Lonchura striata: one gene and its partners. The protein of the gene in region 1 purifies or fractionates together with the protein of each later gene. This does not show direct contact. Links are inferred from orthologs where the notes say so. Each region holds a gene or a part of one and is shown in the gene's direction. Other genes may lie near its edges. The genes, in order: PRPF40A, NCBP3 and RBM25.

Region 1 (7,929 bases):
TCCCCCTGGATCCACTGGAGCAAATCCCGCCGGATCCCACTGGATGGATCCAGATGGATCCCATTGCATTGAATCCCGCTGGATCCCACTGGAGCAAATCCCACCAGATCCCATTTCATTTGATCCAGCTGGATCCCATTGCATTGAATCCTGCTGGATCCCGTTGCATGAAATTCCACTGGATCCTACTGGATGGACCTTGCTGGATCCCATTGCATTGAATCCTTCTGGATCCCACTGGATGGATCCTGCTGGATTCCATTTTATTGAATCCCATTGGATCCCACTGGATGAATCCTGCTGGATAGAATCCTGCTGGATCCCATTGGATTGAATCCCACAGGATCCCATTGGATGGAATACCATGGGATCCCACGGGATGGATCTCACTGGATGGATCCCACTGGATGCAGTTGGATGGAATCCCACTGAATGGAACCCCACTGGATCCTCCTGTTGCATGGATCCTGCTGGATGGATCCCACTGGATGGATCCTGCTGGATCCTGTTGCTTGGATCCCACTGGATCCCATTGGATGGATTGCACCAGATGGATCCCACTGGATGAATCCCACTAGATGGAGCCCGTTGCATGGATCCCGCTGGATCCTGTTGGATGGATCCCACTGCACGGATCCTGTGGGATGGATCCCATTGCATGGATCCCGTTGGATCCCACTGGATGGATCCCACTGGATGGATCCTGTTGGATGGATGTCGCTGGATCCCATTGGATGGATCCCGTTGCATGGAACCGGTTGCATGGATCCCACGGGATGCATCCCACTGGATGGATCCCACCGGATGGATCCCACTGGTTGCATCCCGTTGGATGGATGCTGCTGGATCCTGTTGCATGGATCTCACTGCACGGATCCCGCAGGACGGATCCCGCCTTTGGGAATGCCCCGAGCGCGGTTCCCCGGCGGGGCTGGAGCCGCGGCTCCGGCAGCCAAACCGCGTTTTCCCGGGAATGCCAGAATTCCAAAGGCACGGGAAATGAAAAATCCATTTCCAAGTCCTCTCCTTTCCCTCCTTGCCCGGCCGCCGATTCAGGATGCCGGGACAAGCCGAGATTCCCTGTGCGAGCCCTCTCCCTGCTGGCCGCTCCAGGAATTCGCCTGGAATTCTCTGCCTTTCCACAGGAAATCCTGGGAAACACCCGAGAGCAATTTTATATTCAGTTTACAGGAAATAAAAGTTTTTCTACGAGAAAAAATAAAGATCACTGGTTAAATATATTCCAGCTAACAGGTAAAATTCCATGGAAAGGGAATTCCAGAGCTCATTGTCCCAAATATCTTATATTCCAGAATTCCATGTTTCAGAATTTGCGTTGCAGAATTTAAATTTCAGGGGTTTTATTTCAAAATTTGCGTTCCTGAATTTTTATTTCAGAATTTTCACTTCTGTTTTTATTTTGGAGGTTTTTATTCCTGAATTCGCATTTCAGAATTTGCGTCTCGGGGTTTTTTATCTCAGAGTTTGCGTTTTCAAATTTACATTGCACAGTTTTCTATTTTAGAACTTTCAGCTCAGATTTTTTTATTTCAGAATTTCTATTTCAGAATCTGCAATTCAGAATTTTTATTTCAGAATTTCTATTTCAGAATTTCTATTTCAGAATCTGCAATTCAGAATTTTTATTTCAGAATTTTTATTTCAGCATTTCTATTTTCAGAATTTCTATTTTCAGAATTTCTATTTTCAGAATCTGCAATTCAAAAGTTTTATTTCAGAATTTTTACTTCAAAGTTCTCTTATTTCAGAATTTGTATTACAATTTTTAAAAAATTTTGGAGTTCTGTATTTCCTACAAATCCTGCCTGAAAATCCAGGTTAAAAAGCAGAAGTTTCCTCCAGGATCAGGAAGAAGAGTGAAGGATTGGATGCTCTATCAAAATTTCTGTAAAAACACAAAAAAAAGTTTAAAAAATCAGGAAAAAAAATTAAATCAATTCACTTGATTTGGACTGATTTGAGGCAGCTGTGCTTAAAAATAAAGAAATAAAAATACTCCAAGTACTAAAGTTACACCTTGGGCTGCCAAAAGCAGCTGTGCCCCGCTGGAGCTCTGCTCCCTGCACACCGGGAGAGACTGAAATGAGATTTCAAGATTTAATTGAAAATCAATTTAAATTTTAATTTCACTGCTTGATCATGGCCGAAAAATCGGATTAATCAAGACCTTTTTGGGTGGATTTAGAGAATTCTTTAAGCTCGGGGAGGTGAGGGTTGGTGTTTATCCCAAGAGTCCAAGGAAGAACCTGGGAGAGGGGAGGTGTCCCTGCCCACGGGAATGTGGGATTGCAGGAATTTTTGTCCTTTTTTATCCCAATAATTCCATATTTCCATGAGCCGAGCCAAACCAGCCCCTGGCTGACAGCAGCCACGGGATTGATTAAATATCTGTACCCCAAAATGCAAAATGAGGTGTTTGAAAACCGTGGAGGCGTGTGGAAATCCAGGAATATCATGGAAAATAAATCCACATCCCTGACGATCCCTCTGCTCAAGGGGAAGAACGAGACATGGGCAGGGGACAGGAAAATATTCCAAGTTTTGTAACTTCAGGAAGAAAAACATGGATAAATAAACATGCCAAGGGGGCAGAGATCATTCCCTGGATATCCTGAGTCGTTCCGCTTTGGAGTCCCCACTTAAATTCATTTATCCCGCAGAATTGGGGATTCTGGCTGGGAGGGATTTTGGGAATTGGGAATTCTGGCTGGGAGGGTGGGCTGGAATTCCCAAAGAAGCTGAGGCTGCCCCTGGCACAGCCACGGCCTCGCAGCTGCCAGAGCTCCCGGAGCGCGTCCCGATCCCAGCGGGACATTCCCGATTCCCAACGGGACATTCCCCATTCCCAATGGGACACTGCCCATTCCTCCGGGACATTCCTGATCCCCAGCAGGACACTCCCCATTCCCAATGGGACATTTCCAATGGAACATTCCTGGTTCCCAATGGGACATTCCCAGCGGGACACTCCCGGTTCCCAACGGGACATTCCCGGTTCCCATTCCCGATCCCAGCGGGACACTCTCGGTTCCCAATGGGACATTCCCGGTTCCTATTCCCGGTTCCCAATGGGACATTCCTGGTTCTCAATGGGACATTCCCGGTTCCCATTCCCGATCCCAGCGGGACACTCTCGGTTCCCAATGGGACATTCCCGGTTCCTATTCCCGGTTCCCAATGGGACATTCCCGGTTCCCAATGGGACATTCCCGGTTCCTATTTCCGGTTCCCAATGGGACATTACTGGTTCCCATTCCCAATCCCAGCGGGACATTCTCCATTCCCAATGGGACATTCCCATATTCTCAATGGGACATTCCCTGTTCCCATTTCCCGGTTCCCATTCCCTGTTCCCATTTCCCGGTTCCCACTCCCGGTTCCCATTCCCGATCCCAGAGGGACATTCCCATATTCTCAATGGGACATTCCCTGTTCCCATTCCCTGTTCCCATTTCCCGGTTCCCATTCCCTGTTCCCATTTCCCGGTTCCCACTCCCGGTTCCCATTCCCGATCCCAGAGGGACATTCCCATATTCTCAATGGGACATTCCCTGTTCCCATTTCCCGGTTCCCATTCCCTGTTCCCATTTCCCGGTTCCCACTCCCGGTTCCCATTCCCGATCCCAGAGGGACATTCCCTGTTCCCATTTCCCGGTTCCCATTCCCTGTTCCCATTTCCCGGTTCCCACTCCCTGTTCCCATTCCCGATCCCAGCGGGACATTCCCTGTTCCCATTCCCGATCCCAGCGGGACATTCCCTGTTCCCATTCCCTGTTCCCATTTCCCGGTTCCCATTCCCATTCCCTGTTCCCATTCCCGATCCCAGCGGGACATTCCCTGTTCCCATTCCCGGTTCCCATTCCCGGTTCCCATTCCCGGTTCCCATTCCCGATCCCAGAGGGACATTCCCGGTTCCCATTCCCTGTTCCCATTCCCGGTTCCCATTCCCGGTTCCAGCGGGACATTCCTCATTCCCAATGGGACATTCCCTGTTCCCATTCCCTGTTCCCATTCCCTGTTCCCATTTCCCGGTTCCCATTCCCATTCCCGGTTCCCATTCCCTGTTCCCATTCCCTGTTCCCATTCCCGGTTCCCATTCCCTGTTCCCATTCCCGGTTCCCATTCCCGGTTCCCATTCCCGATCCCAGCGGGACATTTCCTGTTCCCATTCCCGGTTCCCATTCCCGGTTCCCATTCCCATTCCCGGTTCCCATTCCCGATCCCCGCGGCCGCTCCCCTCAGCGGCACCAACCACTGCGCGCGGCCCGGGGGGGGGACCGGCGCCACCCCGGCCGCGCTCGGCACGTACCACCGTCACGCAGAGGGGGGGGTACACTGACCCGGCGCGTACCACCCGCGTCCGCCTGAGGGGAGCTCTACCGCCACCTCCCGCCGAGTTGGAGCTGCGGCGCGCGAAACCACCCCCTCCTTCCGGCGCTGTTGGTGCCGCCCGGCGCAGCGCGCACCTCCCCCGGCCCCACGTGAGCGCTCTCCCGGCGTGCCCCGCGCTCGGCCGCCGCAGCCGCCGCTCCGCTCCGCGCGCCGCGCTCCCGGCCGAGCCGCCCGCGCCGCCGCGGGGCCGCCCCGCTCCCCGCCAGCATGTCCGGCGGCGACTCCACCGCCGCGGCCGCCGCCGCCTCCCCGCAGCCTCTGCCGTTCTCTCTGCCGAAACCGCCGCCCCTGATGCAGCTGACTCCGGGCGACGCGGTGCGGCCGGTGGGCTCGGGCGCGGACCAATCGCCGAAGAGCGCGCGGCTGGCGGCGCGGCCCGATTGGCCGGCGGGGAAGCCGGTCAGCCTGCTGGCGCCGCTGCTGCCGCCCCGCGGCGAGCCCGAGCCGCTGCTGCCCTTCGGGCCCGCCGCGCCGCGCCCGCCCCTGCGCGGCCGCCTGCTGGGCCGCTGCGGCGGCTCGCTGCTCAGCCCCGCCATGCGCCCCGCCGCCGTGGACCGCGCCTCGCTCATGGTCAGTGCCGCGCCGGGCCGGGGGAGCGGGGGCAAATCCATGAACGGGCTCGGGGAGCTGGCCCGCGCGGGGGTGGAGTTCCTGCTCCTGTGCAGGTGGGATTCCTGGGTATCGGTTCTTGTCTGTAAAACCCTCTCTGGGCACCTGGAGCCCGCACAGGGAAGGAGTTCTTGCGTGTGTTCCTGGGCATCAGTCCCTGCCCATCAGACCTCTCTGGGCACCTGGAGCCCGCACAGGGAAGGAGTTCTTGCTTGTGTTCCTGGGCATCAGTCCCTGCCCATCAGACCTCTCTGGGCACCTGGAGCTCATACAGGGAAGGAGTTCTTGCTTGTGTTCCTGGGCATCAGTCCGTGCCCATCAGACCTCTCTGGGCACCTGGAGCTCATACAGGGAAGGAGTTCTTGCTTGTGTTCCTGGGCATCAGTCCCTGCCCATCAGACCTCTCTGGGCACCTGGAGCTCATACAGGGAAGGAGTTCTTGCTTGTGTTCCTGGGCATCAGTCCGTGCCCATCAGACCCTCTCTGGGCACCTGGAGCCCACACAGGGAAGGAGTTCCTGCTCCTGTGCAGGTGGCACCTCGTGGGTATCGGTTCTTGTCTGTAAAGCCCTCTCTGGGCACCTGGAGCCCGCACAGGGAAGGAGTTCTTGCTTGTGTTCCTGGGCATCAGTCCGTGCCCATCAGACCTCTCTGGGCACCTGGAGACCACACAAGGAAGGAGATCCTGTTCCTCTGCTGGTGCCATTCCTGCGCATCAGTCCCTGCCTGTCAAATCCTCCCTGGGCACCTGGCACCTGTATAAGGATGGAGTTCCTGCTCCTGTGCAGGTGGCACTACCTGGGCGTCAGTCCCTGCCCATCAGACCCTCTCTGGGCATCTAGAGCCCGAATAAGGAAGGAGTTCTTCCTTGTGTTCCTGGGCATCAGTCCCTGCCCATCAGACCTCTCTGGGTACCTGGAGCTCACACAAGGAAGGAGTTCCTGTTCCTGTGCAGATGGCATTCCTGGGCATCAGTCCCTGATAGTCACCTGCACAGAGAAGGAATTCTTGGTCCTCTGCTGGTGGCATTCCTGCGCATCACTCCTTGCCTGTCACCCACGCAAGGATGGAGTTCTTGCTTCTGTGCAAGTGGCACTTCCAGGTGGCACTTCCTGGGCATCAGTCCCTGCCCATCAGACCTCTCTGGGCACCTGGAGCCCACACAAGGAAGGAGATCCTGCTCCTGTGCAGGTGGCATTCCTGGGCATCAGTCCCTGCCTGTCACCCACACAGAGAAGGAATTCTTGGTCCTGTGTAGGTGGCACTTCCTGGGCATCAGTCCCTGCCCATCAGACCCTCTCTGGGCACCTGGAGCTCACACAGGGAAGGAGTTCTTGCTTGTGTTCCTGGGCATCAGTCCCTGCCCATCAGAGCTCTCTGGGCACCTGGAGCCCACACAAGGAAGGAGTTCCTGCTCCTGTGCAGGTGGCACTTCCTGGGCATCAGTCCTTGCCTGTCACCCACGCAAGGATGGAGTTCTTGCTTCTGTGCAAGTGGCACTTCCAGGTGGCACTTCCTAGGCATCAGTCCCTGTCCATCAAACCCTCTCTGGGCACCTGACACCCTCACAGGGAAGGAGTTCCTGCTCCTGTGCAGGTGGCATTCCTGGGCATCAGTCCCTGCCTGTCACCCACACAAGGAAGGAGTTCTTGGTCCTGTGCTGGTGGGGCTTCCTAGGCATCAGTCCCTGCCCACCAAACCCTCTCTGGGCAGTGATGCCCGCACAGGGAAGGAATTCTTGGTAGTGTGCAGGAGGCACTTCCTGGGCATCACTCCCTGCCCATCAAACCCTCTCTGGCACCTGGAGCCCACACAGGAAGAAGTTCCTACTCGTGTGCAGGTGGGGCTTTTTGGGCATGAGTCCCTGCCCCCCAAACCCTCTCTGGGCACCTGTCACCCACACAAGGAAGGAATCATTGAAAAACTGAAAGGTGCGGAAATTAAGGGAGAATTCCTCCCCTGTGAGGGTGGGGATTCCTGGGGTGGAATTCCAGGCTGCCTCATCCCTGGAAGTGTCCAAGGCTAGGTTGGAGCACCTGGGACAGTGGAAGGTGTCCCAGAGGCTGAAACTGGAGGCATTCAGGTCCCTCCTACCCAAACCATTCTGGGATTGTGTCTTCAATAATTTGGTTTTTTTTTTCCCTTTCCTGCTAACTATATTTTCCAAATGGAAACTCTGCCTGGGTTTTATCCTAAGGAACTCCGAGAGCTGTGGAACAGAAATCTCTGGGAGTGTTTGAATCCCTGAAAAGCCCAGGGAAGGGGATCTCCTTTTCCCCCTGCTGGGTGTGTCTGGGGCGCTCGCCTCGCCGCTGATTTTTTTCCCTGGTTGTTTTCCAGATGGGCCACCCGGGAATGCCCCACTACCCCCCGATGGGGATGCACCCCATGGGGCAGAGACCCCCCAACATGCCCCCGGTCCCCCACGGGATGATGCCGCAGATGATGCCCCCCATGGGGGGACCCCCGATGGGGCAGGTAAGGCAATTCCAGCAGCTCCTGCTCCATCCCTCAGGAAAAGGGATCCCTCCAGCTCCCTGGGAGAGGGAGAGGAGAGAATTCGGGAGTTTATCCTAACCGGGGGAAAACCCTTCTTACGGGCAGCAGGGAGTGGATGCACCTTGGTGACTTCAGTTAGTAATTGGTATGGGAGCAGGTAATTAATGCACCTCTAGCTTCATTTTCAATCCAGAATTTGGGATCGAGTCAAGTTTTTTGGAATGAAAACAGATAATGTAATGCACCTCTTAATTTTCAATCCAGAATTTGGGATTGATTCAAGTTGTTTTTTGGAAGGAGAAAAGGTAATTAATGCACCTGTAACTTGAATTATCAATCAATATATTGGGATCGATTCATGTTTTTTGGAATGGGAAAAGATAATTAATGCACCTCTATTTTTCAGTCC
Region 2 (7,228 bases), on another chromosome or scaffold:
GCAACAGGGAAGAGCTTAGGTTCCACTGGTGCCACAGAGGAGCCATGTGTGTGTGGGCATGGACAAACTAAGAGTTCTATTTGTGAAAACAAAGCAATATGTACCACTTTTAGACTATTCTCCAAGATCTCTTAAATGCCAGAGTAATATCTGTCAACGTGTGTAGAATTCTGCTCCAGCTCTGCTCAGTTCTGTGAGCTTTTTTCCAGAAAGGAATCTGCTTTTTCAACTGTGTGGTCTCCCTGTTGCAGCACTTGCATAAACAATGTTAGAGCACTGCTATCCCTGACTCTGAGGGTGCTGTGCTCCTCCCTGCATCCAATATTCTGGTTTTTTGTAGGGCCCTGTAGCTGTCTCCTGCATAGGACTCTGGCATTGTGTCAGGTTCCAGGGTTGTACTAACCTCCACAATATCCCAGTGAGAAAATATTCTTCCTTACAGGTGGGGAGTCTGTGGTTCATCAAATCCATAAGAAAACACCAGGTGCTTGCTTTCAGCCTCACAAATGAACATCCTTCTTCTGCTGATGCTGTTCTCTCTCCAGATGGGCTGGAGCTAGGAGTGAGCCTAATCTTTTTGGAGGTCAGTCCCAGTTTCCGTGGTGATGTGTGGGGTTTGCTGGCCAGCTGCAGGAATAGCACACACACTTCCATGGGTTTTTCACGGGTTTGAAAAGCTGCAGATCCTTGCTGAGAGCCCAGGACGGCAGGAGAGTTAAATCATATCCGCAGGAACACGTGTCCTTTCTGTTCAGTGTTCACAGACCTCAAACAAACAAATCAACCAATACTTTTTTAGAGCAAAATTCACCATTTTTTCCTGATTCCTGCCAGGCCGCTGCAAAAAAGCCTCATTTTTTGAGGGCCCAGAGTCTGTTCTTTTTTCCCTCTCCCTTCCCGGTCCCCGTCTCCCGATTTCCGCCGATCCCAAAACTGCGGGAATTGGCGTTTTCCATCAGGTTTTGGTTTTGGTTTTGGCTCAGGTTGGGACTCCTGCTGCACGAGCTCTCTCTGGTGGTCAAAGCCGGGAAACCAATAACCCCTAAATCCTCCCGTGGGTGTTTTTATTCTGGAATGATTCCATAGGATTTTGGAATAGTTTGGATGGGAAGGGACCTCGTACATTATCCAGGTGCGACCCCGAGCCGTGGACAGGGACCTTCCTCTAGGGCAGGTTGAGAGCCCCATCCAACCTGGCCTTGATCGCTTCCAGGTTATCCACAGCTCCTCTTCTACAGTCACCTTCTCACCTTCATTATTTGTAAAAGCCTTTCCTTACTTGGCATTTCTGATAATAACTGGTAGCCTTTCCCAAATTTCTTTTTCCTCCCCTATTTAAGCTCTGCATCCCTCAGCAGTTTATTACCTTCGCCCCATCCCTGCTGCACAAAGGCTACAACAACGCAGAGCTCTTCTGCCTAAACCTGCTTCCTACAAGTTTGAAAACAATTAACATTTTAAGAATTCAGGTGATCTTTCACAGGCAGAGGGATTGCAGAGAGGAATGTGAAAGAAAAACGAAGCTCTGGGACACTGTCTCAGAAGAATAAAACTAAATCAGCTTGAAATGCCAAAGAATTCACTGCTAATTACAAGATCCTGAAAGGAATAAAGTACAAAATACTATGAAAACATTTTATTCACTCACCTAGCAGTAAAAAGCTCCAGTGGTACACAGGTTTGGTTTCCTTCTCCTGATTTTATTGTCCCTACCAGTTGGTCAGAGATTGTTTTTTCCTAAGAAGCTCTAAAATTTTGGCAGTGTCTAAAGCCACACTCAATCAGTAGAAAGTTTCTTGCTGAGTGCAATGAGTGAATCTTGAAAAGATGCCAAGTATGGAGGGCTGTAGTACAGCAATGTTCTGCCTGAGGTGACATCCAAGGGATGTTAAAACAAAATCAGGAAACACCTGGGTCAGCCCAAGGTTCATCTGCACTCTGCTGACAGCAGTGCAAGGTGACCTGGGGTCACATAACCTTGTCCCAACTGCTCCTTGAAGCGTTTGGCTTTGTCAAGCTGGTCTAGATCACATGGCAGTACTGTGTCCTACTTAGAAAAATAAAACTAAAGAAGTTCCATCTCTTGGTTTCTTTTCCCTGTGACCTAAGAAACAGCATTTCTTCCACAGAAATGTTTCCTCTTGCAATTAGTTCAGGCTCAGCTGCTCGCAGGGGGTGCCTGTGTCCTGTTTATTCCTTTCCTTTGCCTCATGTGGCCTGGAACCTGGCTTCACACCTGGCTTGGAAGTGTCACCTGTGCCAGGAGTTCCTACCAGGTGCTGCTGTGGGATGTCCATGCCAAATGTAGCACTTTTGGTGAACAGTGACAGAAGCCATTGTGTCACAAGCTCTGCGTGAAGACTTGAGAATAAATAATCTTGGAGTGAGTGATGGGTAGAACAATCTCTTGATCCTGCTGGATTTTGTGTAAGGGGAGGAGCCTTTGTGCTGCCAAGTGGGAAATGTCTTTGTGACAAAGTCTAAATTTGAATTTTCCTGGGATGTGCCATCAGCTGTGAGGGAAAGTTAAGCATCCCAGGGGATGGACTGGAGGGGGTTTATTTGTAACATGTGCAGAAATGAGGTGTGGAGCAGCGTGAGCTGGAGGGAAGGGTCCTGCAGCTGGAGAAGTAACAGGAATTCTTAGTGGTGTGACAATAACACACAATGACAGTGGGATGTGGCTGTGTAGCCCGGCAGCTGTGGTGTGAAATAATGATGCCAAGGCAGGAGCAACTCTTCAGCTAGACCAGGATTCTGGTCTGCTGTGTGTGAGGGAATGGAGCTGATTAGTGTCAGTGGGGGAATGAATGTCTCATGGGGACTGATGAAAGCATGTGGTTTATTTAGGCCAAGAAGAGGCAGGGCTGCTCTCCTGGAACAAGCTGAACACCTTGGGATGAGGGGACAAAGAGAATAACTGAGCCTCAGAACAACGGGATGCAACACTGCAGAGAACTGCGAGCTGAGAATTAGTTTGCTTTTATCAGAGGTGTAACATTCCTCTAGTATGGACGGGAAAATTGAACATTAGAGTTCAGATAGTTTAAAAACACATTTTTAGGGGAAGGATGTAAGTTCTGTGTCCGCTCTCCGTGTGCCTTTCCCCAGGGCCGGGGGTACGCGGGGACACGGCGGGGCCGCCCTCTCGCCCGCTGCAGCCGCGCTCTCTGCCCGGTCTGTGTGGCCGTTCTCCACCCTGAGCCCCTGGGCCCTGAACCGGCTCCGTCCGGCCCGGGACGTGCCGGGCTTGCGGTGCGTGGATTCGCGCTGTGCTTGGATTGGGGGTGCGCTGCGTCTCGGGGTGCGCTGAGTCTAGGGGTGCGCTTGATTCGGAGTGCGCTGGATTCGGGGTGCGCTGGATGCGGGGTGTGCTGAGTCTCGGGGTGCGTTGGACTCGGGGTGCGCTGAGTCTCAGGGTGCGCTGAGTCTCGGGGTGCGCTGGTCTCGGGGTGCCTTGGACTCGGGGTACACTGAGTCTCGGGGTGCGTTGGACTCGGGGTGCGTTGGACTCGGGGTGCACTGAGTCTCGGGGTGCGCTGAGTCTCGGGGTGCGTTGGACTCGGGGTGCACTGAGTCTCGGGGTGCGCTGAGTCTCGGGGTGCACTGAGTCTCGGGGTGCGCTGGTCTCGGGGTGAGCTGAGTCTCGGGGTGCGTTGGACTCGCGTCGCGCTGGGCTCCAGGTGCGTTGGGCTTAGGGGGCGCAGCGGGCTCGGGGTGCGCTGGGTCTTGGGGGCGCGTTGGATTCGGGGCGCACCGGGTCTCGGGGGCGCGTTGGATTCGGGGCGCACCGGGCTCGGGGTGCGTTGGATTCGGGGCGCACCGGGCTCGGGGTGCGTTGGATTCGGGGCGCACCGGGCTCGGGGTGCGCTGGATTCGGGGTGAGCTGAGTCTCGGGATGCGTTGGATTCGGGGTGCGCCGGGTCTCGGGGGCGCGTTAGATTCGGGGTGCACCGGGCTCGGGGCGCGTTGGATTCGGGGCGCACCGGGCTCGGGGTGCACCCGGGGGTCCCGCTGGCTCTCAGGGCCCGCTCGCTCTCGGGGGAGGCCGGCCCCGCCGCGCTGCGGGCGGCGCTCGGATCGCGGCGCTCCGCCCGCCCGGCGCTCCCGGCCGCTCTCCGCGCTCGGAGCCGCCCCGCCGCTCCGTGCCGCCCCGCGCTCGTCTCGCTGGCCGCGCTGGGCGGGCCTGGCGGAGCCATGGCGGCCGTGCGGGGCCTGCGGATCTCGGTGAAGGCGGAGGCGAGCAGCGCCACGGCGGAGCCGCGCGGCGCCGAGCCCGAGCCCATGGAGGTGGAGGAGGGAGAGCTGGAGACCATCCCTGTGAGGCGCTCGCTGCGGGAGCTCATCCCGGTGAGGCCCGAGGGGTGTGGGCGAGGAGGGGCTGGCTCCGGCGGCTGGATCCGGGGTGCCTGAGCGCTCTGTGCGGGCTTTTGGGGGGATTCTTGGGAATAGCAGGGAATAGGAGGGGGCTCGGGGGCGAGTCCTGAGGAAGCGGGCGGGATGTGCCTGGGGACGGGCGGAATAAAGGAAGCGGTGGAGAAGAGGATTTGGGGTGCAGTGTTGGGGTGTGGAGGAAGCTGTGGGTGGAGGGGGTACAGGGAATGTTTGATGCCGGGATCTCAGGGAATACCTGGAGCAGGGAACAGGGGCTGACGGCGGATAGCAGAGCTGGGAGGGTGGGCTCTGATGAGTGGGTTTCCTTCACGATGTTTTTCTGCCCTTTTTCACTCGTTGATTGTTTCTCTACAAGTTTTAGTAGGATTAGGTTTAACAACTAGAAATGGGTCAGAGTTTTAAAATCCTAAGTAATCTTTTGCTCTCAAAACTTGGGTGAAAATTGTTTTGGAAGCTAATCTTTAATTAGCTTGTCTACCAACGTGCTTGTGCTTTTACACAACATGTGGCCTGAGAGACAGCATCGTGCTGTACTTCCTTGTGCTCCGTGAGTCAACCTCAGACACTGTGGGGTTTCAACGTTTAAAATCATGTTTACTTTGCTTTTCCTTTCCTAGTAACTCTGGCCATTTGGCAGCATTAGTGCAACTTTTGGTGCTGTTACTAAGAAAAGCGGTTGGATTGTGTGTGTTCTTCGGTCTTTCTAAACTGAGACTAACCTACTTCTAGAAATGGTCCTTTAGCCAAAGTAATTATTGCAGCACAAGTGTAAAGAACTCTTTTGCTCCTAAAGAAAGCAGGAGGTGTTCTTCCAGCTCTAAACTTCTGACAGTTGAGAATGTCAGAATGAAGAGGTGCCATTTTACAAATGCAAACAATGGAGGGCACAGAATTGGGTCATTGGTCCAGGGGCTGTGGGGTTTAGTCCCTCTCTAAATTCACCAGTCCTGACTGACAGAGAGGAAACTTGTAATTTTTCCCCCTCTCATTCTCCATTTTTACCCCCTCTCAGTATCAAAACTGAAGTATTTCACCTCGCGATTTGGAACTTGGGGTTGAAATAATGATAGGAATAAAATGCTACTTGTTTCATTGTGGATGTGGCTTGCTGTTCTCACTTTATGAGATTAAAAACTGCAAACTGACATTTCAATAATCAGGTATCACTGTTAAATCTGCTCATGTGTTACAAGGAAATTATACCCAAACCCAAAATTGTGGAAGTCTTACTCAGGAAAGATGTTTGATGACTTTTTCTGTATTACTGAGAGAGTAAAAGCTTGGCAGCAGCTGACATAGAAACTAAATTCTGTCAAAGGAAAGAATCCTTACAGTGAGGGAAGTTTGGTTCAGTTCATGTGCTTTTACTTTCACTGACATGAGGGTGCCTCTCTGTCCAGGGATGTAGCTTGGATCAAGGAAAAGAGATTCTGTTTCTTGTAGGAATGCTCAGGTGAATTTTTCCGTGTAACAAGTGTGTTGCTTTCAGTGCTCATTGAGATTTCATCACCATTTTGCTCTGTTTCAGGACACCAGTAGGAGATATGAAAACAAAGCTGGAAGTTTCATCACTGGCATAGATGTGACCTCCAAGGTAATTTTTGTGCTATGGCTCTTCAACATTTTGTCATTTTTGCCACTGGAGAGATGGAACCATTTCATTTCTTTCTTTCCCAACATGGACGAAGGCTTAGCCTGGTGTTGAGGTCATTCAGCTGCATGAATCACTGCATATTCCAAAGATACAGAAACCTATAGTGCTTCCTAATAAAATTTGGAGAACAAGGAGCTTCTCAGCTCCCAGTTCCCAAAATTGGACAAGTTCCAGGCAGGCTGTTATTCGTGAGCTACATAAGAGGAGCCTGAGTTGCCAGTCTAAAAAATTCTCTGGAGCCAGTTCTCCAGTGTTAAATTCATGCTCAGAGAAACAAATTTACACTTTTGTATATATTAAAAAACAAGGGAAAAAATAATATAATCTTCAAAGATGAATTTTGCCTGTGGTAGAAAGGCTTCTTTTAGAAGAGGGGTTTTATTTAATATTTGTTAGCAAGGACTAGATAATGTTCCTGTTCCATAATGGAGTCTGTGTTTTTCAAGCCACCTTGTTTCCCATGCATCCTGATTCCCATTGCTGGACCTACACAAAAACTGTTGTGTGACACAGAAATATTTTTGTGAATTACTTCTACATTCTGAAACCTACAGGTCTCTCCAGAATTAACAGAATTGTTAATATAAATTGTTGGCTGTCTGGTAGATTTTAAGTGTCCTCAGTGCAGTTTATTGACCTTGTTTGAGTGCACTGCTTTGCATTTTGCAGGAAGCAATTGAGAAGAAGGAGCAAAGAGCCAAACGCTTCCATTTTCGGGCTGAGGTGAATCTGGCCCAGAGGAACGTGGCCCTGGACCGGGACATGATGAAGAAAGGTACAAGTTCATCCAGCAGTCAGGAGCAAAGATCCCTTTAGTCACCCCCTCACAGTGTCTTGACTTGATTTATCCTGCAATATTTCCTACATTCCCAGAGGTTTTGCCAGATTACTGCTGAAAGGAATCACTTTGAGGTTTTTCCACCTTCTCGTTTGCACATCGTTGTTTTTTAACCTGTTTGACACTTTCCATTTCACTCCTTGTTTTACCAGCCCCAGCACAAAGATGACATTTTTGTGTGTCTTATTTACTATTGCTCAATTCCCAGGATTCACCTTCTGGATCAGTGCTGCTTTAAGAATCTTTAAATGCTCTGTAAAAACCCTGGAGCACTGTGTGGGTACACGTGGAGGACTCTGTGTCCTGTGCACAAGGAGATCAGACTCTGTGCTGTACACACA
Region 3 (6,905 bases), on another chromosome or scaffold:
CGGTTACGTAACGGCGGTGCCGGCCGGCGCCTCCCCCCGCGCCCAGACCTACCTGGGGCTGCGCCCGGCGCCGGCCGGCCAGCAAGGGGGAAGCCCCCGGGTTCCTCCCGCCGAGCAGCGGCAGCGGGCGGGAGCCGCGGCGGGACTGGGAACAAAGGCGGCGCGGCACGGGGCGCCGCGAGCCGGGCTATTGTTTACAAGCCGGCGGCCACCTTTCTTCCCCTTCCTCCCGCCGGCACCCGGTGACTAAGGACTCGGGTCCCGGCCGCGGCTTCCTCCTCCCCCCCGTGCCCTCCGCGCCCGGGGGGGATCTCCCGGTTCTTCTCCCCCAGGGGTCGACCATGCAGTCGGGGCGCCCGGGGGAACTGAGCAGGGCAGGGCCGGCCAGGACCCGCGCCCCCTCCGCCCGCTCCCTCGTTGTCAGCCGGGATCAGCTGATCGCGGGGAACTTCGGGGTTATTTTCTCACCGCGGAGACGGGAAGGCGGCGAGCTGGAGGCGGGGCGGCGCTGGCACGCCGGGAGTTGTAGTCCGGAGGCTGCACCGCCCCGGGCTCGCCGCGCCGGCCGGGACGTGCGGTGCCCGTGGCGGGGGGGGCGCGGTGCCGCGGACCTTGCGGTGACAACGAAGTTTTTTACTCCCCTCATTTCGTTTTCGCCCCACTGTCTCACACCTGCCTGGGTTCCCAAGGAGCTGCGCCGGAGGAGTGTAAACAGCCCCCAGAAGGGTTTAAAGGGGTGAAAAATGTAGCGAAGCTCTCTCCTCCCACCGCCTGGAGAATGACAAGGCAGCTGCTCCAGGCCTCCACGTCTGGCAAACGAATGGATCGATCACAGTGTCCACCTGAGAGGAGAGCACTTGGTGCCCAAATCTCACCTGCCACTCATCGGTTTAAATGAAGTCTTGACATAGAGAGCCACTGGTCACTGTCACTGGAGCCTCTGGGGTTTCTTCCATGACTGTAGCTTCAACCTATGGGTAAACAGCCATAATTTATATAGCTGAAAGGGACTGCAGGTCCAAAACAGAGGCACACACCTGCCAAGAAATGGCAGATTCACTGGAGCCATGGGAATGGGAGGTGAACGCCAGACAGAGATGATCAAAGAAAGCATTCGGTGAGGAAGCAGCCTTGGCCAGTAGTGGCTCCAAACCCAATGTTGGCTCATAATGAGTTGTTTTTCATTCGCTGATTTAGATAATATGCAAAAACATGTTGTAGCATAACCAGTGCACAGGCAATTCATCTTCTAAAGTAACAAGAGTTTTCGGCTGGTTATTTGGCTCAAATGCTAGTGGTTACTTCATCAGAGGAGGGACATGCACTCTTTTCCTTCAGTGGACATTACAAATTGATACGACTAATAGACAGCTACAAGGTGCCCTGTTCTTTGGTCTCCTGCTTCAGTTTTGGACAAACAGTTTTAAAATGGAGTTAAATTACAAGGTAATTACTTTGAAGTATCATCACTTCACAAAACTGAGTCAACAGATCCAATTACTGTGAAAATGAGGCATCAATGAATTTTCTAACACAAGGAATGACTGAGGCCCTCTCAGAATTAAAGTGTATTGCTGAAGAACTTTCATTACACTAGACTGTACTATATATATATATTTGTGTAGGCATATACATGATTTAATTATTTTTTTATGTAGCTTAGTGATGATGAATGACTGAAGACTGGCACAGTAACTCTCTTCCCTGTTCTCTTTCACGCTGTTACAATAATGTATTTTCATGAAAGATTAATTTAAGAGATTGACAAAATAGACTGACATCTACAAGAATACAGTTTTGGTGAACCAAATGTCTTCAGACTGAAAAGATCCCGAATAATGAATTAAACTAATACATATGAAGTAGAAACTTTTAAATCTCACAGTGCTATTCAGAGGAGCCAAGGAATGAGATCAATGAGTCTGGCATCTAAGGGATCTTCCTCGAAGTGCCTCTATTTAGACTGGCAATGTGGTGGAGCAATTAAAGGATATGAAGAAGGGAAGAAAAACATGCATATAAAATTTTTAAAATACATAGTCTAGAAACAATGTGACCCCGGTACCCTGAGGTACTGCCGAACATTTTTGGGATGATTTCTCATGCTTGAAATACAAGGCAGACAAAAACGCACCTCTTAATTTTAACCTTAATATTAAAAGCCATGTACTACAATCTTCATGCTTGGCTTGAGCACAAAATTCTGGAGTTTGCCGTGAGAACTGAAAAAAATGAATAGTGATCAGTATCTGGAAAAGGGATCTCAGTTGCATAAGTAAAGGCAGGAAGATAATACAGGCACCAGGGGTGGGCAATTCTAAAATCCCATAGCAGAAAGAGTAAAGACAGGAAAATAGCTACATTTACTGGATACTTCTGCAGCTATTCTTCCTTGATTAAGAAGGATACAGAAGGCTATAGTTTATTTGTGTAAGAAGAATAAATGCAAAATAGCCTCTTTCTTTGGCTAAAAAAATAGATGAATGTGTACATGAGCAAAGCCTTTGCAATGTTTCCTGTAAATAAAAACTTATTACAGCAGTACAAAATAGTTTGGGATTCACATTTCTTTTTAAGCTGAGCTGTTGTTGTCTGAGACAACACAGAGAAGATTCTGAAAATTTTTGTTATGCCTTTTTCTTTTCCTTGGTTTTCCTAGTATGCTTATAAAATTTTTTAACTATTAACAGTAGTCAGTATTGTAGTTACTAAATTTGTATTATTTTGAGGGAGATATGCCAGCTGTTTGGAATAAGCTGTAATTAATAGAAGGCAAAACTGCTGTTTCTGGTGGGCAAGAAATTGCAGTCAAACTTGAAATATTTCTTAAATCTGCTATTGCTAGAATATCTACCCTTACACATCACGTAAAGCAAGGTGATGAATGGGACCTTAGTTCCAACACAGTTGTTGGCTGTTCAGTAGCACATATGACATCAACCAGATAGTTTTAATCTGCTTTGTACTGAAGAAGTCAGCCTACAGGTGGAGATTTTGTCATTGGACTCTTGTCTTTTGAACACTTTTCTTTAAACAATGGAAAATACAACACATTTTTTTCCCTTACCTAATCCAACATTTTTTAAACAGTTTTATGCACATGGTCATTTTGTGGTCTACCTCATAATAATCTGTAAGATCATGTTCTTCTCATTCATAGTCACTTCCTCTTTCCACTTGCAACTTATTTCCAACAGCGGTATAACTACAGCAATTACTGTCTTGCATGTCATGTTGAAAATTGGCTCTTAATGTAGTCCAAATGCTGAAAGTAGGTCAGAGAAACTACCAGTTGTAGACCATGGCTAGGCCCAACAGCACAGTGACATCTTTCTGACGAGCATGCGGCTGCCTAAAAAGGTAGTGCTCACTCTTTTTGCTGTGTAAATCCTTAAGTCTTTTACAGCACACAGAACCTTCCACGAAAGCCAGCTGTATCCTGGGCTGCATCCCAAACAATGAGGGCAGGTCGAGGGAGGGGATTCCCTGCCTGCGGTACAGCCCGTCCCTGGGCTGGGTGTCTGTCTGAGGGGGCCATGACGGCTGACAGACGGCCAAGCTCCGTGGCCCCGCCGCCGGAGGCTTCCAGGCCCTCGGGCCACCCTGGCCCCGACATGGCGGCGCTCCGGCCGGGTCACGGCCCCGCGCCGCCCCCGCTAAAGATGGCGGCGGCGCGCATGCCCCTTGGCTGCCCGCCTTCCGCCGCCGCTCCACGGCCGGCCGCGGCGCCGCCTGGGGGCGCTCTGGCGCGGCCGGCTCTGTGGTGGCGCGGCGCGGTGCACGCCGGGCCGCTGGCGGAAGAGGCGGGTCACATGACCCCGCGCGGCGCGGCGGCAGCGGCTCGGCGCGGTGCGTTCGCGGCCTAGCGGGGCCTCAGCCGGCCCAGCGCCTCCCCCGCGCCATCCCCGCCCCGCTCCGCTCCGAGGGTGAGACCCGGGGGGCTGCGCGGGCAAGAGGGAGGCAAGGAGGGAGGGCAGGCGGCGGCGGCGCCTCGGCCGCCCGCTGGGCGGAGGCACGGCCGGGACCGGCCGAGGCCGCTGGGCCGCGGCGGGCGCTCGCTGGGGAGGCGGCTCGGGCCTGGACGGGGCGTGGAACGGACGAGCGGCCTCGGGGCGGTGCTCGCGAGACCCGCTCGCGTCGTCTCCCGCTGGGACGCGGAGGGGCCCATTCCGCCGCCCCGGCGAGAGGGACGGGAGCGGCCCCGCGGGAGGCGAGGGGAGCCCGTGGCACGGCCGGGACCCGGAGCTGCGCGGAGCTTTGCTGGCGCCCGGCCGCCTTAGACTGTGGGTGGGATTTTTGCTTTTGCACGTCGGGGAAACCGATCACGCTAGGAAACGTGATATATTGCGACAAGGAAGTTATTGTCTTTAGCGTGGATTGGCGTGGTCTTCTTAAAACACGTGTTGGCAGGTCGTGCGTAAAATAATCGGGAGTGATTCATCCGTGTCGGGAGCCGTTGTGATGTGCACACGGCATGTTTTTCTCATAATGTCTTTTTCCGTTGAAGAAAAAGACCTTTGTCTGCTTGGAGGAGGGGTTTTTTGTTTCAACACAGGGAATATCCTGAACACAACTAACGGTTTTGTTGTTTCTTTTTTTAGGTCTTAAACGGCCTTAGAGAAAGTGAGCTCTCAAAAGTTTTCTATTTCTTAGCCCATTGAGCCTAAAATACACTCACTGAGTATTGGTCCTTTTTTTGTGTGTGGCAGGAAAGCATTGGTTCAGGTATTGCATCAGCATTTATGGGGTGAGTCCAGAGCAAATTATAAGGAAGAATAGCAGAGTTTCTTACTTCCCCTGAGAAGGAGTTTCTGTTTTGGGAAGAGTCAATAGCCAAGTTAGAATGGAAAGTCACTTACTTCACTAACCAGGGTTTTATATAGGTGCAGAGGCATAGAATTAGGAATTAAATCAAATATCTTTTAAGTTCTCATGACATACTTAATGGAGCCCTGCTTAAAGGGCTTTGGGACGGAGGCTTTGGTTGGGGTAAACATGTTGCTTTTTGTGTTGCTTCATAATAACAGGGTGGGATGCAACTATTCCACAGCAGTTACTAAACTCTTTCTAGATGACTTCTGAAAAACAAGCTAGAGCAAGTACTAGTATTTTTGTTTTTAGCTTAGGATACCTATAATATATTTTATCTCTCCCCATGCGTGCGGTGTTTAACATTTAAATCTTGCTTTGCTTGCAGGCCATTTTGGAGAAAACTGTAGGGGTCTGAGAAAATGGTCATTTTCACTGAGGAAACCAGTTGGCTTGGAATAGAAGATTTTTCTTTTAGGGAGCCTTTTTGACAACAAGTAATAATATAAACAGCTTCTTTGTTGGGTGACAAACTAGGAGGTTGCTTTTATAATGGAATGGCTTAAATATCCACCCATTGTGTAGAGACCAAGGCACAAGCCTGTGAGAGTACAGACTTTAACAGAAAAGTTTGTTGTGTATCTTTTCTTCAGCCTGCACAGCCATTTTGTGCAAGTTATTCTAGACTAAAGGCACAGACTTTTTGTGGTGCAGAAGTGTTTTGGGGAAATACTGAAAGGAAGTTAAAATCAGATAAAATTAAATCAAACTATGTCAGCCATACTCTCACTGTTGCTATGTCACCTCATGTATGCATTCCTAAAACACGTGAGTTTTGTGCATTAAGACTTGAGGGGTTTTGCAGTCAGTTTTAACTTTGGTGTAACAGTAGTAAGTATGGTAACTGGTTGCTTCATGGGAACTTTGAAATTGGTTAAGATGTTTTGCAAGTTTCTAAATTAATAAAACTTTTAACACATAAAGTTTCTGATGTATAAACAGAGATACTGATATTAATTCTGTAACAGTGGTAGAATTATGATGCTGCCTTAAGTAGATGATGGGATTATCAATTTAAAATACCTTCACTGCCAGCAATTTTTATTGAGTTTGCATTCTGCTTATGACATATCTCTTCACCTCTGTTTAAAAAAAATGGAGTCAGTAAAACAGAAGGTTAAAAAATACTATGATTTAAAAAGAAATTACTGTGTTAACAGTGCAGCCAGACCAGTACAATCTCAGTCCCCTCTTATTGGGACTTCTAGGAGTCAGAGATGATAAAGAAGAACAAGGCAGCAGTGTCTGGGTGATGGTGATCCTTGTTTCATAGTAGTTTTGAGTTCTGTGTGGACTCAGACACTTTCTTCCAGCCCTAAGGTGAGCTCTCTGCGTTTGCTTAGTTGTAAATCAGCCAGAATGCTCCTAGTGGACAGAGCTCCATCCCAGCAGGCATCTCATCATGACAAGATTTCCCAGTCTCAGTGGATTTTACTTAACCTTAGAACCTATGGCTGTCCCTGTACTCTCTCCAAGTTTCAGAAGATTGGTGCAGATTGCTCTGCATGTTGCTTGGTTCTACCAGGACTTAAGTCAGAAGTGCAGTGTAGAAGGCAGCTGAGTTCATTCTAGGCCAAAGTTGAACCTGGAATATTATAGCTGTGTTTATGTAGCACTTGCCTTAGTAGCTCAGGCTGTTTTTGAGCTTAGTCTGCATGGCATTAAACTTAGGTGTTTTGCCATCCATGATATAATTAATCTGCTTAGAGAAATTAAATCTGCTTAGAGAAATGGCCCGAGGCTAATAAAGTATGCACCTACGTTACTGTGTTCACTTGGATCAAGGATGTGTTCTTGAAGGAAGTATCACAGTCATCATCATTTAGGAAGTTTTTTTCATATTGGTTTGTGCTATTCCTAGCTTATTGTGGATAAGCTAGGTTCCTTTTGGATGAAAATATATTAAAAAAATGCACTCAAACGTACAAACTGGCATTTGTTTTATTGGGGTGGGCCTCCCCAAAACATGTAGTGGAGACATTAGGGTCTTAACTCAAATTAGTTTTGTTTGGCAGACTTGTTTCTATGTATGTCAG

The links.
Region 2: the proteins of PRPF40A (region 1) and NCBP3 purify together in Homo sapiens (affinity purification with mass spectrometry; 3 studies listed by BioGRID and IntAct, counting the BioPlex papers as one, with this or other methods). This does not show direct contact. The link is inferred for Lonchura striata from reciprocal best matches to the Homo sapiens genes PRPF40A and NCBP3.
Region 3: the proteins of PRPF40A (region 1) and RBM25 purify together in Homo sapiens (affinity purification with mass spectrometry; 5 studies listed by BioGRID and IntAct, with this or other methods). This does not show direct contact. The link is inferred for Lonchura striata from reciprocal best matches to the Homo sapiens genes PRPF40A and RBM25.

Annotation. Positions count from the first base shown.
Region 1 is NC_134610.1:1,399,952-1,407,880, forward strand, and holds the start of PRPF40A (pre-mRNA-processing factor 40 homolog A), read left to right. Parts: upstream 1-4,894; 5' UTR 4,895-4,947; coding exon 4,948-4,983; intron 4,984-7,361; coding exon 7,362-7,499; intron 7,500-7,929.
Region 2 is NC_134622.1:6,723,075-6,730,302, reverse strand, and holds the start of NCBP3 (nuclear cap-binding protein subunit 3), read left to right. Parts: upstream 1-4,155; 5' UTR 4,156-4,197; coding exon 4,198-4,350; intron 4,351-5,923; coding exon 5,924-5,989; intron 5,990-6,718; coding exon 6,719-6,824; intron 6,825-7,228. UniProt on the Homo sapiens protein: Associates with NCBP1/CBP80 to form an alternative cap-binding complex (CBC) which plays a key role in mRNA export. NCBP3 serves as adapter protein linking the capped RNAs (m7GpppG-capped RNA) to NCBP1/CBP80.
Region 3 is NC_134608.1:35,553,497-35,560,401, forward strand, and holds the start of RBM25 (RNA-binding protein 25), read left to right. Parts: upstream 1-3,811; 5' UTR 3,812-3,926; intron 3,927-6,905. UniProt on the Homo sapiens protein: RNA-binding protein that acts as a regulator of alternative pre-mRNA splicing. Involved in apoptotic cell death through the regulation of the apoptotic factor BCL2L1 isoform expression.